Linked DNA regions of Schizosaccharomyces pombe. The protein of the gene in region 3 interacts with the protein of the main gene of each other region in a biochemical or structural test. Each region holds a gene or a part of one and is shown on either strand. Other genes may lie near its edges.

The links.
Region 1: of the proteins of cdk9 (region 3) and pch1, one has a biochemical effect on the other in vitro, tested with the Schizosaccharomyces pombe proteins (one study listed by BioGRID).
Region 2: of the proteins of cdk9 (region 3) and spb1, one has a biochemical effect on the other in vitro, tested with the Schizosaccharomyces pombe proteins (one study listed by BioGRID).

Annotation. Positions count from the first base shown.
Region 1 is NC_003423.3:2,791,892-2,798,068, forward strand, and holds pch1 (P-TEFB-associated cyclin T Pch1), read left to right. Parts: upstream 1-2,929; 5' UTR 2,930-2,953; intron 2,954-3,018; 5' UTR 3,019-3,074; coding exon 3,075-3,253; intron 3,254-3,310; coding exon 3,311-3,855; exon of another isoform or gene 3,856-3,898; coding exon 3,899-4,203; 3' UTR 4,204-4,424; coding exon of another isoform or gene 4,425-5,447; 3' UTR 5,448-5,566; downstream 5,567-6,177. Other genes in the region: gamma-tubulin Gtb1, read left to right, coding at 1-451, 496-960, 1,011-1,126, 1,185-1,251; protein Cwf12, read right to left, coding at 1,331-1,836, 1,928-2,060, 2,122-2,136; SPOM_SPBC32F12.07C (MARCH family ubiquitin-protein ligase E3), read right to left, coding at 4,425-5,447.
Region 2 is NC_003424.3:919,114-925,744, reverse strand, and holds spb1 (rRNA methyltransferase Spb1), read right to left. Parts: upstream 3,465-6,631; 5' UTR 3,432-3,464; coding exon 3,362-3,431; exon of another isoform or gene 3,321-3,361; coding exon 3,227-3,320; exon of another isoform or gene 3,175-3,226; coding exon 2,998-3,174; exon of another isoform or gene 2,853-2,997; coding exon 785-2,852; 3' UTR 612-784; downstream 1-611. Other genes in the region: ubiquinone biosynthesis protein Coq4, read left to right, coding at 1-242, 299-533; protein mcp1, read right to left, coding at 3,735-4,976, 5,029-5,772; irs4 (ENTH/VHS domain protein), read right to left, coding at 6,514-6,631. UniProt on the Schizosaccharomyces pombe protein: Required for proper assembly of pre-ribosomal particles during the biogenesis of the 60S ribosomal subunit.
Region 3 is NC_003423.3:1,468,568-1,473,682, reverse strand, and holds cdk9 (P-TEFb-associated cyclin-dependent protein kinase Cdk9), read right to left. Parts: upstream 3,116-5,115; 5' UTR 3,004-3,115; coding exon 2,861-3,003; exon of another isoform or gene 2,810-2,860; coding exon 2,728-2,809; exon of another isoform or gene 2,608-2,727; coding exon 1,057-2,607; 3' UTR 501-1,056; downstream 1-500. Other genes in the region: DNA-binding forkhead transcription factor, meiotic Mei4, read right to left, coding at 1-489; wdr8 (WD repeat-containing protein), read right to left, coding at 3,596-4,608, 4,648-4,723, 4,796-5,115. UniProt on the Schizosaccharomyces pombe protein: Component of the positive transcription elongation factor b (P-TEFb) which consists of cdk9 and pch1, and which phosphorylates the C-terminal domain (CTD) of RNA polymerase II and spt5.

The DNA.
Region 1 (6,177 bases), 1.3 Mb from region 3:
CTACGGCAGCCTTTATAATCCCGAAAATATACTTATTACCAAAAATGGAGGAGGTGCTGGCAATAATTGGGCTAATGGTTATTCGCATGCTGAGAGGATTTTTGAAGATATAATGGACATGATAGATCGTGAAGCTGATGGAAGTGATTCTCTAGAGGGTTTCTCGCTTTTACATTCTATCGCTGGTGGAACGGGTTCTGGGCTGGGCTCTTTCTTGCTTGAGAGATTAAACGATCGTTATCCCAAGAAGATTATCCAAACTTATTCAGTATTCCCTAATAGTCAATCCGTATCAGATGTTGTGGTTCAGCCTTACAACAGTCTTCTTGCATTGAAGCGACTGACATTGAATGCTGATTCTGTTGTTGTGTTGGACAATGCAGCACTTGCTCATATTGCTGCTGATCGGTTACATACTCAGAACCCTACGTTTCATCAACAAAACCAATTGGTAATTGATTTATATTAGGTCTTTTCATCAACTAACTATTCTAGGTTTCAACTGTTATGTCTGCCAGTACAACAACTTTAAGATATCCTGGCTACATGAACAACGATCTTGTCAGTATAATAGCTTCATTAATTCCAAGTCCTCGCTGTCACTTTTTACTAACCTCATACACTCCTTTTACCAATCAGCAAGTGGAAGAAGCAAAGGCCATTCGGAAAACTACCGTGCTTGATGTGATGAGAAGGTTGTTGTTGCCTAAAAACCAGATGGTTTCCGTCAATCCTAGCAAAAAGAGTTGCTTTATTAGTATTTTGGATATCATTCAAGGAGAAGCAGATCCGGCGGACGTTCACAAATCCTTGCTTCGCATAAGAGAACGACGATACGCTTCATTCATTCCTTGGGGACCAGCAAGTATACAAGTTGCACTTTCTAAAAAGTCGCCCTATATAAAAACGAACCACCGTGTTAGTGGACTTATGCTTGCAAATCACACTAGTATTGCCTCTGTATGTTTCTGCAAATTTTTTTTTGAGACATTTAATACTAATCTTTGTAGTTATTCAAGAGAACACTAGATCAATATGATCGTTTGCGGAAACGAAATGCCTTTTTAGAGCAATATAAAAAGGAGGCTATTTTCGAAGATGATCTTAACGAATTCGATTCTTCTCGGTAAGTATCTTGTCTTATAATTTCATATTTTGAGTTAATTTACTAATGTATTTGACAGCGACGTCGTTGCCGACTTGATCAATGAATACGAAGCTTGTGAAGATCCCAATTATTTATCTCTTTAAAAAATCCTTCATAGTTTACGATGTCAAAGCAGACTTAAAATATAAAATTAATTCTCCTATCCTAGTCCTACTTCATAATCTATGAAATTCTGCTCAGCAAAGCATTTTTACGCCTTTCTAAAAGAATGGCTTCAACATCGTCTCTAGTTGGTATTTGCTCAATGACAAGAGGTTTCCAATCTTGTTCAACTTCATCACCAAGGTTCTCAAGATGTTTATGTTGTTGTTCTTCAATCTTTGCCTCAAAATCTTCTAATAGACTCTCTTGTGCTGGCGGTATGTAACCAAAGTACCAGGCGTCTAACCTTCTTTTCTGCATCTCCTGTTTGCGCTGTCTTTCCGGTATAAAACTCATATCAGCTTCAAAAAGTTCCTTAACGCCAGGTAACTCTCGAGCTCTTCCGTAATAACGATAATCGTCTATATCACTGATTTGTTCTCCTTCATCCTCAAATAGCTTTGCTTTATTATACAGATAATTAATCCCACCCAGATCACGAATTTGTACCTCCCATTCGTGTTTTTCACGCATCAATCGATTAATTGCATCGTTCAAATCTCGAATTTGATATTCAGGCAACGTTGCTATTCATGGTTAGAATACACAGAAATGATAAAAGCGGAATCAAGTTTAGCAAGTTAATTAAATTTGCTAATAAAACAATCTAGGACGTACCACTTTGAATTCGAGAGATCTTGCGAGAGATATCTTTTACTACACTAGCCCTATGTTTTTCACATATCGGCACAGACTTAATGCTTTTTATATCCTTGGGTCTCTTTTCCGTTGGTTTGCTGCCCACTACATACTATAACAAAGGGGTTAGTGACTGACGCTTAGGTTCTCATGCATATTCGTATGAACCTTACTTTCGCTGATGACATTGTAAAATTAAATGAAAATGATAGACTTGGTAATTAAAAAAATAGAGAAGGAAAGGCTCATTAAAATTTGACACAGAAAATAAATAATATAGACAAGTTTTATGGTATTTATCGAAATCAAGGCAAACCCAACACTTAATTAATTGACCTTCAACAGCCAATTCTTATTTAAGTACTTGAAAATTTGCTCAAGTTCCACCGATTGTGAAGACAAGCAAAAAACTTATAAGCAAGAAATTGAATGCATACAAGTAGTTATTTCGTGTAAGAAACACTTTATAAAACGGAAAAGAACAGCCAAAGTGAATAAGCTTATTGAAGCGCAACAAGCTTCTTAATTCATGGATAACGAAGTCCTCTTCTAAAAAAAGTACTAGTCTAAATAGTAACTAAGTATTTTATGTTCACTACAATTAAAGGATGATATTATTGCATAAATGGTCCCTTTCAAAATGATTACCACTTTTAATCCATCGTATTCAATATACTGTCAAGAATTAGGCAATTGTTGATGAAGTAGGTAACATCAATCATTTGGAAAAGTTCATTTCATCTCTTTGGTATCGGCTTTAACCTAAAAAAGAGTTGTTTATAAGAGATTAGCAGAACGATTTATAAGTATACAGTTGATTTTTTGAATATCTTACAAAGACTTAAAATTAAACAATCGTTGAGACCGTCAAAATCGTTAAAACTGACTTACGAATTATTCTAATAATCACTATATTCAATCAACGTAAATGGACAAGCATCGTTGTGGTAGATTTCCCCCTGAAAGATAGTAACCACCCTCCATTCTTCGCATTCTTTAGTTGAGGTATGTTAATTATATACTAAATGATTTACTGTTCTTTGATTTTGCTTATTCTTGCTCAATTATAGTTTGTTTTTAATAATTTGGCGACGGTAATCTCATATATAAAATCGATGAATTTCACATGAGTGAAGTAATAAAATCTGTACCCCCGGGCTCTCAAAACACTTCTCAGTGGATAATAAGTAAAGATCAGTTGGTATTTACTCCATCTGCATTAGATGGGATACCTTTAGATCAAGAAGAAATTCAAAGATCTAAAGGATGCAATTTCATTATAAATGTCGGGCTGAGATTAAAACTGTACGTTAATTACGATGTATCAGTTCAGTAAATTAATGAAACTAACAATAATAACAGACCTCAAACTGCGCTTGCTACTGCTAACATCTATTTCCATCGATTTTATCTTCGATTCTCACTCAAAAATTATCATTATTATGAAGTTGCTGCTACTTGCATTTTCTTGGCAACCAAGGTTGAGGATTCCGTTCGTAAACTTCGCGATATTGTAATTAACTGTGCAAAGGTTGCTCAAAAAAACAGCAATGTTTTGGTTGACGAGCAAACCAAAGAATACTGGCGGTGGAGAGATGTTATCTTGTACACAGAGGAAGTACTGTTAGAAGCTTTATGCTTTGACTTTACGGTTGAACATCCATATCCTTACGTCCTAAGTTTTATCAAAAAATTCGTGGCTGATGATAAAAATGTCACTAAGGTTGCTTGGACATACATTAACGATAGCACTAGAAGTATCGCATGTCTACTTTACTCTCCGAAAACTATAGCTGCTGCAGCATTCCAATTTGCATTAGAAAAGAACGAAATAAATCTCTCTACTACGACTGATGGGCTTCCGGTATGGATGGAAGAGTCTCAAGTTTCTTATGAAGACGTTAAAGGTATATTATATATTTTTTTATAGCCTTAGCACTAACAATGCAGGAGTGTTGACACTAATCGACTCGTTATACAAAAAGATAAACCCTTCCAAACAAGCCCTTCCAATCGACCAAAAAAACGGATCTCATGCTTCCAGCGTAGCTCCTGGGACACCGTCGTCATTGGCTTCCGTCTCGACACAAGCTACCCCTCAACATCAAAATTCATCAGGAAGAACTGACTCATTTCATTCCCTAAACACAGAAACCCCATCAAAAAGTACGGTGGACGACCAAATACTGTCGACAGCCGCCCAGCCAAAAAAATCATCTGATACAGATAAAGAGATGGAGACGGAAGCTTCATAAAAAAGAAAAATAATTCCAGATTGGAAATTTTATAAGTTATAAAAATTATTAATGCTATCAGCATCTTTATATTTATTTTTGGATTCGAATAAATCGATAACACGGTTTTAGAATATTGCTCGTAATAAAAGGCTTAAATTAAGTTCATGAGTATTTTTAAAAAGTAAATGCGTGAAAGAAATATTGCCGGAACTTAACAGTTTGACAACTTCATTGTTTGCTTATGAGTCAGAAACTCTACGAGGATTGTCGAGAATTCGAATGCTCCAGGGTTTTCTCTTTCTCCAAGCAATGAAACCATAGACAAAAATGTCCTTAAAAACTAATGCAGCAAAGGCACCAATAATGCTCTTCTCTAACTTTGTGAAATTCCCTGGAATAAACCTTCCCAAAAATTTCCCTGCTAATGGGAATAGTAGAATCGGTCGAACAATACGGAGAATTTTCGTAGTAAAAGCATCAAGGAAAACGTGTGCCACAGACAAAAGAATCCAAAATTCAGATTCTGTATCTTCTCTTTCGTTTACATCCTCGACTTGGTTACGATGCTCTACTTGTGCTTCAAACTGGCGAAACCAATCAGTTTCAGAATCTTCAAATTCCCCGTCCGCTCCAATTACAATACCGTCAAATATACGGGTCATTAGTTCCTTATATAAAGATCTTACCCAAGGCAGAGTGCACAGTAGAAGTGAGGTATTCGAAATCTTTTCCGCGCAACTATAAATTGAAAAATGCGTGTAGAGACTAAATGCTATATCATAAGGCGGAGCTTCGTAGAACCGAACCAACATGCATGGTAATAAAGGCAATACGACAGAGGAGAAAACTGGCTTTTTTAACATTTCTATCAGGCTGCTTTCATCTGCCACCTGTTTACATATCCATATTCCAGTCTGTTTGAATATTGAATAAATAAACTTGGTAATACCTAAACAAGAACCTACACCAAACGTTACTTGAGCTAGACCAGCTTCAAGGGAATGACCGATTCCAAGAACGTTTACAGCCCAAGACTTTTCCTTTGGCGGTTTAGCAATTCTATATGCGGTAAGACATTGAGGACAACGAGTACTGCCAGATCTGGTAATGTAAGAAATCAAACAACTTTCATGAGCAATGAGTGAACACCGACACGGACGTCTCCAAGAATCATTTGAAAGGGAGCATAGTTTTTTGTCGTATTCCTCATAGCATATCCAGCAGCGAGCACTGCTTTTCTCATACTTCGCGGTGTCCGTCATTTAGCAGAACCTCGGGGTTTTCCAATACAAAAAAGAAAATTTAGAATAAATAAAATAAACGCTTAACGTCAATGTTTCAAAACAAAATAGGTTTTAAAATATAGGCATTTTCCTGAACAAATTCTAACATAAAGATAGTTCAGTACTTTCTCATAAGTTTAGGAGCCTTAGTAATTAAAAAGATTGGGTATTGAAAGTAAAGTTGAAAGTGTGGAATGAACAATATAATTTAAATGATATGAGTAAAAAAGCTGTTTACAATTACTTGTGTAGCTTTTTTAATGCAAACGATTTTAGAATAAACTTCAAATCCCTAAAACTATCGTAAAGTAGTTCGTTTTGAGCGATTGGACGGATTCGTGGTGAAAGGTGGTTGAGTGGTTTCACGAGTGCTTGTCCTGCTACGAGTTGAGGGGTGCTGAGGAACGGAGGGCACATTACTGACTCGTGAAGGTGGACGAAGTCTAGAGGAAGTTTTAGAAATTATACTTTTTCTATTTGAAGAATTGAGACCATTATTAGGAATCGAACTTGCTACGGATGGCAAGTTGGATGTTGGTATAGTAGGAGCAGAGGAGGTGGCCGATTTTGGAATTGCGGATTGGCGATGACTTGCAAAAGATGAAGAAGGAGTCCTAAGTGAGTTTGGGTTAGAAGTCGTAGCCATGCTAACCCGAGAACGCACATTCATGGATGAAGACCTTGGGAACATGGGAAGGCCTAGAAGGTA
Region 2 (6,631 bases), on a different chromosome or scaffold from region 3:
AGAATGACATCGAAGTCTTTAAACTTACCATTTTTGCGGACCCTTCCGCCAAATACCCTAGGTAAAATTTATGTTGACTGGATAGACAAAGAGCATGTTGGACCCGATACTCGAAGCCCTACCCGTTTTGTAGATGACCCAGAGGAGGCATATGTTATGCAAAGATATCGTGAATCTCACGATTTTTACCATGCTATATGTAACATGCCTACAAACATTGAAGGAGAATTAGCTATTAAATGGTATAGATATACTTTACTTTATTTCTAACTTCATGGTTTGTATACTAACAATTTAGGCTGGAATTTGTTAACATGGGTTTACCAGTTGGAGCTCTCTCTGCTTTATTTGGTCCTCTACGCTTAAATTGTGAACAGGCTTCAAGGTTTCGTCGGGTATACATTCCATGGTCGATTCGTAATGGTTTGAATGCAAAAACATTGATCAATGTCTATTGGGAAAAGGAACTGACGAACGACATTGAGGACGTCCGTAGACGAATACGAATTGAGGCTGCTCCTCCGCTGGTTTAGACCTGTAATTCAAATTTCTTCCATTTACTCAATCGAAATATTCGAAAAGAACTGCATATAAATAGTTAATTAATAATGTTTATATATGTAGCAGTTTAACTCTTGCAAAACATATCCATGCTGTTACTCCCAAATCTAATACTAAATAAGAATACTATTAATCCACTAAAACCCAAACTCTAACCTAGATATAATTATTTTAAGCCTAAATTCCACGAAAAACTGTTAATGAAATTAAACAGTCAAGTATTTTAACGACGACCCTTTTTAGCTAGTCTTTTTTGTGCGCGCAAATCCTTTTTCATTCGACTGTCAACCATTTTATACTTTCCTTTAACACCCTTAGGACGAGATTTAAGGCCTTTATTAGGACCCTTTGCAACAACTAACGTAGGCTTTGCTTTAGGCTTCGATTTAGTAGCACGGCTTACGAGTCGCGATATTTCTTTAGCTTTTTCACTTTCAGTCATATCACCGCTTTCTGAAATTCCTTCAGCTTTTTTAGCGACACGTTGCAGACGCTTAATAGTACGCATCTTTTTACGACCTTGTGCCTCAAGAACTTTTTTGATAGGACGAGCATTAAGAGCCTTCATTTTTTCCCGCAAAGCCAAAACGGCTTCTTTGGTGATTGGCTTGTTGGGTTTATTGACGGTTGTTTCTTCATCCAAAAACCAATCTGGAAGACCTTCTTTAGATTGAAACGACCATCGATTATAACCTTCATCAATCAAATCAGCCTTAGACTTTCTCCTAGAAGCAATATCCTGAGCTAGTGTCATTGCCTCGGCAGTAACAATTTCAACGTTGTTTTCATCATTATCAGAATCAGAATTCCAATCATCATCTTCATCATGAGCTGAAGCAACTGGAACGACTTCAATATGATCATTGCTGTCCTCACTTTGGTCTCCCTTGCTTCCATCGTCATTATTTTGAGAAGCAAGTTCAGCTTCACGTTTCTTTATAGCAGCGCGGTTCATAGACATGATTTCCACATCAGCATCGGCATCTTCAATACCATCAAAAATGTCCTGGTCAAAAAACATACGTGCTTTTCTACTAAGCCCATCCTTAGTCGAACCTTTGTCTAACAAAGACGTTGTCAGTCTGTCTTTATCAGGAGTAGCAAAGTTCGTCTCAGCAATCTGAGAATCATCGCTTTCGGTGCCATTATCTATACCGTTCCATTCTTCATCATCAAGATCGCCACGCGCTTTTTTAACGCGATATTTCACATCAGATTCAGCCTTGCGTTTAGTATAATCAGAATACATTGAATCCAAGTCAGCCTCTAAGCGATCGCGCTCATCGTCACTATCGTATTCGACTTCATTGTCCGTAGAAACTTCTTCGTCAACAGATTCAGTTACGGGAAGCGTTCCATTTTCCAATTCTTTTAAACCATGCTTTTCAGCGGTTGCTAGACCAAACAAACTGTCTTCGCCCATGGCTTCATGTTCCAAGCCAATATCCATTGGGGCCAACATTCCCATTTGCATACGAACAATTTCACGCTGTTTACGCTGATTCGCTTTCCGACGCTCACGTTTGAGTTTAACACGTTCGGCTTCACTCAAATCTTGTAATTCTTGATCCAGTCTCTCTTCTTCATCCATTTCAGGAATCTCCTCAACCACTGTTTTTTGCTCATCCTCTACCTTTTTACCTATACCCATCTCATCTCTTATTTTCAGTCGCCATCTCAAAATATCGCGGAATTCTTTTTTACCTAATACTTGTAAATCTGAGCAACACAAAAGAATTTCTTCAGTAGTGACGTCTAAATTGTATAAGCGTTGACATTCCTCATCATCTTTTGGGAATACAATTTCAGCGGATGTACCAAGGATTTGAATGGGATCATTTGCGGTAACAAATTCCGATGCCAAGACAGTTTTGTGTAATGTGTAATCATCGTCAGCGTAACCCTCACGACTACGTTTTCTTTTTTCAGGATGGAACACTTTTGCATCAACGTTTGTAACTGGCTCTTGGACTTCTTCGAAAACGGTACGAGGATCTGTAAAGCGAGGATCTAACTTTTTTGGTGCTTTGTACCCACGACATACGACAAAAATTTCTGCAGAGACGTTACGAGAAGATGGAGGTTTAGTAGCCTCAACTTTATTAAAAAGTTGTTTGAATACCCATAAAAGATTATTATAATCCCTTGAACGAAAAACTTTTGTAACAAATGTACCACCAGCAACCAAAAATTCACATGCTAATTTCATTGACATTAGCACCAACTGAGCTTGTCCATAGGCGTCCTGCAACCATGCAGAACCAACATTTGGTGCACCATCATGAAGAACACTGCTCAATGCATTAATAAAAATTCGACAAAAACCAATATGGGCAACAAATATTCTAATCAGTTCAATCAAATTTCTAAGATTGCAAGTGAAACAAGAATAGTTGCACCCGTTTAACCGCTTCCTGCAGCATATCAATTACTTACACATCAGCTTTCCAAGTTTTCAAATATCCACGCAATTGCGATCTGCATTTATCACTTGTAATATCCTCAACAAACGTATGGCAATTAGGAATGGGTTTAATAGGAGCAAGATCAACACCAACGATTAATGAGCCAGGTTTGCATGTTTTAGAAGCAACCTGTAACCAACCACCTGGACTGTTTTGACGGTCAGTGTAAAAGGATTTTGAATAATAACTATACAACTTACGCAGCACAAAGATCAATGATGACTTTAGCTTTTTCAAGGAAACTATATTTCTGATTCAATTGCACTAATTTAAAAGCAGCACGAGAACGATACCCTAAACGTTAAAAAGTGTTCATTGTAGCTATTAATAAATACCTTGTTCTTTGGCAAGCTTATACCATTTATCCAAACGGCCTTTGGCCGTCTTTTTTTGTGATTTACCCATGTGGTTTTATCGGTGCAAAAATTGGTGAAAGGCAAAAGGCAACTGGCAAATAGCGTACAGTACACTACAACATAGACTAAAGAAAAGATACTGTCAAAGCACTTAAAATTAAAAATCTTGTTTATTTTTGAATAAGATAAAAAAATATTAAACAGTATGAAATAAGATTGGAGAAAATTGCTTTTGAATATGTTAATACTACAATATTTTAATGCTCAGTTAAAAAAATTACGAATTATTTCATTATATTCATACATTAATAGTAAGTATATTAAAAAATATTGTAGAGTAACGAGAGACAAATTATAGAAAAGTAGGTAGTTTAGAACCTTCATCAGACGAAAAGTGTAGCCCATTTAAATTGTTTTTTAACTTCTTTGAGATATCACTACTGGAAAGTGAAAAAGAAGATAGTTGTTTACATAAACTTTGATCTTCACTTGCAGAGGAAGATTCACTACACGTTTCCCAATCATGGTTTTCCAAAAACCTGTCAACCTTTTCCACATTAGACTGAGTCGGTGTATCATCAAGTGAATTAGTAAATTCACCTTTGGGAGGAGTACGTGATAACAATGGCTCTATCATTTGACGAAGCGACACAGAAGCAGGAGTCGTCGAACTTCCAGTAAGCTTGACAGAGTTATGAGGTGTGTCGTGCTGCGAAGGAAGTATCTCCTTTATATCAGTGACCGGAATCGACGAAGATGAAGCATCGGGAGACAAACACGGCTCTCTGGGACCATGCCGAGAGCCTTTCCTCCTAGGGGAAAGTGTATTACTTTTAGAATGATTCTTGAATAAGCAACCACTAGATGTTTCCCTTACTAATCTCTTACTTTTCGAAACACTTCGAGTATCAGGACTTTGGTTAACCATTCTATCAATTAACGGCTCTTCATGAGAGGCTAGCCTAAGAGGAAAACGAATGCTTTTTTTGCTTTGGACATCAATGTTTCTTAACTTTTTATTTTCGATCTTACCTGTGGTTTTCCGCGCAGGTGGCGATGACTCTGGTGAAGATTTGCTATTGTCATTAGAGGAAATATTCTCTTGATTCTGCAAAATTGGTGGAGAATGTATCATTAATAATCTTGAAGACAATGGTTTTCCAAAGACATAAATTTTCTTTTCGTTATCCTCCTCCCACTCCCTTAATGCGCATATTAATTTAGCTTTCAGTAATTGAAAATCCTTTTGCAAGCGCTTTAAAGTGAAAGGCTGCGAAGCTGATCCAGACAATACCTTCATTCTTTGAGATTCTTTATAAACCCTAGACTCTAAGAGAAGATACCGCCTAATCATGTTGTTCAATTCCCCTTGAAGATGGAGATCAACTTCTAGGTTCCCAATTTCTTGTTTCATACTTTGAATTAATTCTCGATTAACGTTAGGTATTTCTTTAAATTGAGATGTAAACAACATTTCTTTTTTAGAAACGAACATTATGCGAGCCAGTGAAAGGTACCTTTTTTGTAAAAACTCGTATTCAGTTTTATACTTAACAAAGTACACTTTTCGCATGGACGAAAGTTCATTTTCCCACTATATTGTTAGTTTGAAAATAATTATTTTAATAAAAATATCAAATTCTTACCAAAGTCAAGGTTTTATCACTATAGTTGGTCGGTAACTCAGAAGTCGGGTTTTTACCACACATATTTTTCATTTCGTTGACAATTTCATCGACCCGGGACTTCCTGCTTTCTAAAGAAAATCTGAGCTTCTCCTTGTAAATTATCAAATGCTTTATTCCGTTTTTGGACAAATCATCAGCGGGCATGCTAAGTTTTATAGACAAAGAATCCTGCAGTTTTTTTAATTCCTCTTTAATTTCAATGTTTTTTTCTTTCCTAAGTCTGTATATCTGATGAAGTTCATTTAATTTTGCTGACAACTGCTCAAGCTTTATATCCGATATGTCCTCAAAATCACCGTTCACAAAATTCACCTCATCAACTGATTCACCAAGGATTACAGATAACCTTTCAATTTCTTTGTACATATTTTTTGCTTCATTTTTCTTCGTGTTATAGATTGCTCGAATACCATTATGGTAAGTTACCAGGCATTCATATTGGTCAATTAGAGTGCGCGGTATTTCGATTTCTTCGATGATGCCCAGTCTTTTTCTTAAAAGAGATATCTCAGAAGATAATTCATTGCATTTTGACTCAATATTTATAATTTTGATCTCCAATTTTCTTTGGTGTCCTGACAAAGCGTCCAAGATGATATTGTTAAAACTGATCTTTGTAAACGAATACCCAAGTTTTTCGGAAAGTGTATAAATATTATTGTAATAATTGTTAAGCCTGTCTCCAATTTTAGCTAACTCCATAATATCTTATGATTTTAACATTAAAAACAGAAGTTCGGCATCATGGCCTTGGAGAACTTGGTTTATTTACCTCTAAACTTAAGGATCGAAAGTGAGTCACAACACATTATGGATTGGGACAAGTTCATACTAGCAAGATTGTTTAATAAAGAAGTCATGTCTTTTTAAAAAAAAAATCTACATCGAACAGTATTTTGGCTAGTTTTAATTGCTAAACCTTTGTGTTGGCTTATTATAGTTAAAAAATGCTAATTAAAGGATATAAATAATACTTGAAAAATTTTATAACAAACAAGCAAATGGTATCCAAGGAATTCGTTAAGCGTAAATCTAACCTATGCTTCAGTAATTAATCAAGTAATAAAAAGGGTAATGCATAAAAAAATGTAAAAATGAATAATAAAAGTTTTGCAAAATGAAAAGTTATGATGTAAAAATAAAGTCCTTCTTTTCGCTTAAAAAGGTCGCTTCGGTTGTGAAATATCTGCAAATTGAGTAAAACAATCGACAGCTTAAATAGATCAGAAAGTACTATCATTAACGATTAACAAAAGCAAACTAACAACTGATTGAAAACGTGGTTCGCAAAAATAGCGAAAGCTTTACGAAAACAGGTTCACAACGGAGTGTTTCAAATGAAAAGACCTTAATGAAGTAATACCGAAATGCCATTTTTTAATAAATGTTGATAAGCTTAAAGATATTTCCCGTTAAAAAAAAGAGGACCCGATGTTGATTTCTCTAGTCAGTCATCGCGCCCTCGTTCACCTTTGCTGTTGTATTAAAGTCGAAAAACTTTTTCAAATGTTTTCTCTTTTTCTTCTTTTTTTTGAAGAAAGGTTTTTTATTATCTGTCTTT
Region 3 (5,115 bases):
CTGCATATGGTCAGGATCAATTGTCCAATAATGACCTTTTAAAGTTTTACCCTTGGGTTTTTCTACTTTGATAAAGGCTTTGTTTAATGAAAGGTTGTGCCTAATGCTATTTTGCCAACCACCATCATGGTTGAGGTAGTAGCGAAACGTGTTGCGAATCCACGTATAAATCCCGCTTAAAGTCAGTTGCTTGTTATGTGATTGTAGGATCGCCAAACCGATTAATGTAGCATAAGAACACGGTGGTTTTTCACCAGTATCCACAAAGCCCGCCATTTCATCTCCAAATATCATTTGTCGTATACTGTCACTACTCAGGTTTTCTTTATTCTCTTCACGAAGCAATGCTTCAGTTTCGCATTTTTCTTTAGAAGACACATTGGAAACATTTTGAGAATCATTAATTTTTGAAGATTCCTTTAATGAAAGGCTAAGTATGACCTTTTTGGGTTTACCATGTGCTTCGACATTCCCTTGATTTTCAACCATTTGAACAATTTAATAATTTTTAGAGTACTGATTATTATATTTATTAGGTAATTATTAATGGTATTTGTGTTATTTTGACTCTGTTTTTGGATGACGGGTTTTGTAGTAGGTAGGTGGGAGAGGGCTGGTCAAGCCGTATACAAACAAGAGGTATTTAACCGAGGTCAAAACATGGGTATGGGAAGGGAAGAAAATACCGTAAATATGTAAACACAAGCAAGGAAAAAAGCAGTTTTGTTGAAAATAAAGTAATTTTCTTTCCAATACATTACTTACAAGTCATGTTTTAAGATTATAAATTTAGTAAATAAATAATACAAATAAAAATCTCCGTGCTCAATTTGCTAAGGTCAAGCTTTTAAAGAAAAAAGAAATATAATTAATTTTCTTTGCTTTTTCCTTTTTGTTTTAAATTTTATTTTGAGCTAGAAAACCAACTTTGGCCTTTAATGAACAGTCGCCATCACGCGGAAAGGCCATTAAAAATATTATGGGATGCTCAGCAAATTAAGTTAATTTAAGATATGAAGAGAAAGCCAAAAAGTAAAAAGAGCACATTCGTATGGATCATTTAGGAGTGTCATCAACGTTGGAATTTTCATGAAAAGAGGGTGACTTCAGATCAGATGTGGATTGTTGGTGCAAGCTAGTAGAAGATGGATGTTGCTCGTTGGTCTTTTGGTTGGCAGATTGTCTAGCAATTGAGTATTCAGGAACATATGAGTCAATGTACTTAATATTGTGTTGTGTTTTGTTGGTATCCGCATTTTCGCTTGCTCGAGATGTCGTTTGTACTTTGCTATTATTCTGGTATCTGGAGGACACATTCCATGCTGGTTGTTGAGACTGGGAAGATTGTCTTCCTTGACGGCCGTAATCCGAGGGGTTTCTTAATCGTTGAGATCGGTCTTGTTCAGGCCGGTAGTAGCGTTGACCGTCTGCATGAGAATGATTAGAAGTTTGATTCATAGCGTTAGTTTCAGAAAATTCGGAATTTTTCTGTGGCAAATCAGACGTTAAAGGTTTAAAATTTTGCTGACGCTTAGGCTGATAATTAACATTACGACTTCTATCCATGTTACCGCCTTCACGATTGTACGAACCACGTTGGTATTGCGGTTGTGAGTTATAATTTGGCCGACGAATTCCATACCACGGATCGCTAGGTCCACGAGTCATGAACCGGAACTGTCTCTTACCATTAGCGGTTTGTTCAAACGCATGTGAATTAGCATCTCTCTGTTCTCTTTTCCTTCTTTTGTCGTACTCATGAGAAGCACTGTAGCTCTGTAGTTCAGAAGGGTTTGCTGGATATGGTGGTGTTGTAAAATATTCATGCTCTAAAGCCATTGAAGCAGATAAACGTTCATCCGGATTAAGGGTCAAAATAGCACCGCAAAGAGAAGTCATTTCCTTTCCGAAAGTAAAAAATGCAGTTTCAAGTGTTCTAGGGTGTGAAGGAAAAGAGCGAACGCCTTCGCACCCAGGAAGCTTTTCCCAATTTGGCATAGTAGCTTGAGTTGGTGATCCACAAAGGCGAAAGATTTTATCCAATTGGTCCAAATCACTACTTCCTTGAAGGATTGGCCTTCCTTTATACATTTCGGCCATGATGCATCCCACGCTCCACATATCAATAGCGGTAGTGTAACGACGCTCGCCAAGCAAAAGTTCTGGTGATCTATACCAGCGTGTAACCACACATCCAGTGTATTCTCTACGATTAGGTGGAGGCAAGCCAGGATTTTTGTTTGCATATGACTCCTCCGTTATCACACGTGCGAGACCAAAATCGGCAATTTTTAAAATCCCGTGATTATCAATCAATAAATTAGCAGCTTTAAGATCTCTATGAAGGATAAGCTGATCATGTAAGTATTTGGTTCCAGCAAACAATTGCTTCATATAGCATTTAATTTGCGGCTCCGTGAATTTTACACTTGGATTTTCTAATAAACCTGAAAGGTCATGATCCATATAAGGAGTCACCATATATATAGAACCACGACGTCGATGCTTCTTGTCTGCACGAACAACAGTCATATCAGATAATGGAATAATATTCTCGTGTTTAATCGATTTTAAAATTTTTATTTCGCGAATGGCTGTAATGGGAAACTAAAATGTAATGCTTTAGTATTTATTCATGAATTAATTAAAACAATTAACGCAATCAAGTCGATGCGTCCCAAGTCATTCTGTCAAAATGAACAAGAATCTAAACAAACATCTACTTACACCTTCCTTTTCAGTATGCATGAGTATTCTTTTCAGCGCATATACCTTCCCGTCCTTACGCCGCTGCGATTTGTAAACTTCGCTGGTGAACCAAGTTAGTGATAAAATTCAAAATCAGATATTTGACACATACCCAAATGTTCCTTCTCCTAATTTTTCCATTAAATGATAATCCGTTAAATGGCTGCACCCTACAAAATGAAGTTTGGGTACGACATCTAATTTTCTCCTTGCTGATTTCTCATCTTCGACAGAAACGCTGCTTGAGCGTTTCATTTTTTTAACTTATATTATACAAAAGATCCCAACGATTAGTGAATAAAGTTAATTATACAAATTGTAGTATAAACCCGATCGATGCGCGAAATGTTGCATCTGATGAGGATATAGTGGAAGTGGACCCAACTATCAACTATATGCATTAAATACGGAGGCGAAGTAAAATGCGCTATGTTTCAAAATGAGAAAACAATACTGTAAGTATAGAGAATAAACAATGCTTTTTATAAAGGGAAAAAGTTGCATTAGTTTTAAATATCTTTCAAAGGACTCCCTAATCTCAAATAAATGCGCAAAGTTTACAATTTATGAATCAGGAAAGAGTAGTTATTAAAACTCAGGAATAGTACGTACTAAATTTAGAAAAAGATAGTTGAATAGACTGAAAAAGACATTCAAACTATAAGAGGTATGCAAAGGCCTTAAGCTGACGGGGTGCTCAGGGTGCTCATGTTTTACATGCGGGAACAATGAACGTGCATTAAAATATTATAGACATTAAGCGAATTAATTAGGTCGTTAGTAAAATAAAAAGAATATTTAAAAATGGTTACAATAATTAAGACTTTTAAGATAGAAAGTAAATCCCTTAAGATGGTATGGAAATCGTTTGCGTTGTTTCTAACTCATTATCTAAAACTTCTTGAGAAATTATAGTTTGAGTAACTTCGGTAAATGATTCATCTTCATCTTCCACAATGTAAGCAACGGTATATGCATCTTCACCACAAATTACTATAACTGGACGAGAACTGAATTCTGATGGTTGAAGCCATTGAACCTTCTGAATATTAAAACCTTTTTTTGGAACTCCAACGACCCTGGGTGTATTCCAACTTAAAGCCCAGAAGTATAGGAATGTAGCATTAGACGGAATTTTGGATTCTTTCCTAATTTTTGTTTGAATGACCACCAAATCGGGACGACCTGGATGCCATTCAAAATACACTATATGATGTTTTTGAATAAGAACAGTGTGCAGTTTTTTATTCTGTAAATTCCATAGCCAAAGAACATTAGGATATTTAGAAGTAATTGTAGCAGCATACGTCTCATCACAGTTGAAACGTATTTTTGATGCTGAACAAAAGGAGGGTTCTGGGAAATCGGTTCTGAGTTTATGTACTTTTTGATAAGTCATTTGTTGCTCATAGATTGTTTCCTTCTCTTCCCATATATGCATTTCCAAGTCAGTATTGGTATATTGCAAACAATGGTGAAGTCGAAAAACTATACTAAAAGTTTTTGTTTCAAGTAGATGTAAGGTTGAATCATGGTAACTGCACAAAGTTAGATATTTGCCAAAGGGACTCCACTCAAAATCGGAAAAGCCGACTTCAATTAACCTATTTGGTCGATATTCGTGAAAAAGAAGACCGGTGCGATGATAAATATAAACAACTGCATCTAATACGTTTTCCAAAACAGCTAACCAGTTTCCATCTGGCGACCAATGGATACCCGTCGAATCTATTGTAGGAAGCTTACACTCTTTAAGAAGTATCCATGCCTTTTTGCTGATTTGGTAAAATTGAAGGCAATCCGAACCGTTAAAACGAGATAATATAGTACAGAATTGCATGGATGGATGTAAAGCGTAAACTAAACAGTCAGTAAATTGATATATCAGACAAGAAATACCTTTCGAAACATTGGTTTTTACATGTGGAAGCAAATAACCTTTCTGGGTATTTAAAGACCACACAGTAATCTTCGACTAAAAAATTTGCTATTAGCATCGCAGATATATAAGCAAAAAGTTGTGCAAATTTTATTAGATACAACGTACATCAAAGGACGACCAGAGAAGCAGTTCTCCAGACGGGCTCCAGCTGATACTACTCAAAGGATCCTGGTCGCACTGTATGCTAGCATAATAATCGTGTTGTACAATATCTAATACAAACACTTTATCAACTGAGGCAACACAAATTTGATGGCATTTTTCTGCTCCTAAATTGGGTTTCCATAACAAGTATACAACCTTTTGAATGAATTGAGCGTTTAGAAGGAACACATGGTGAAGCTCGAGGGTTTCAGAATTTCGAATTAAGACATGCCCAGAGCGAGATAAAGACGCAATCCAATTACCACAATGTGAAACACTTG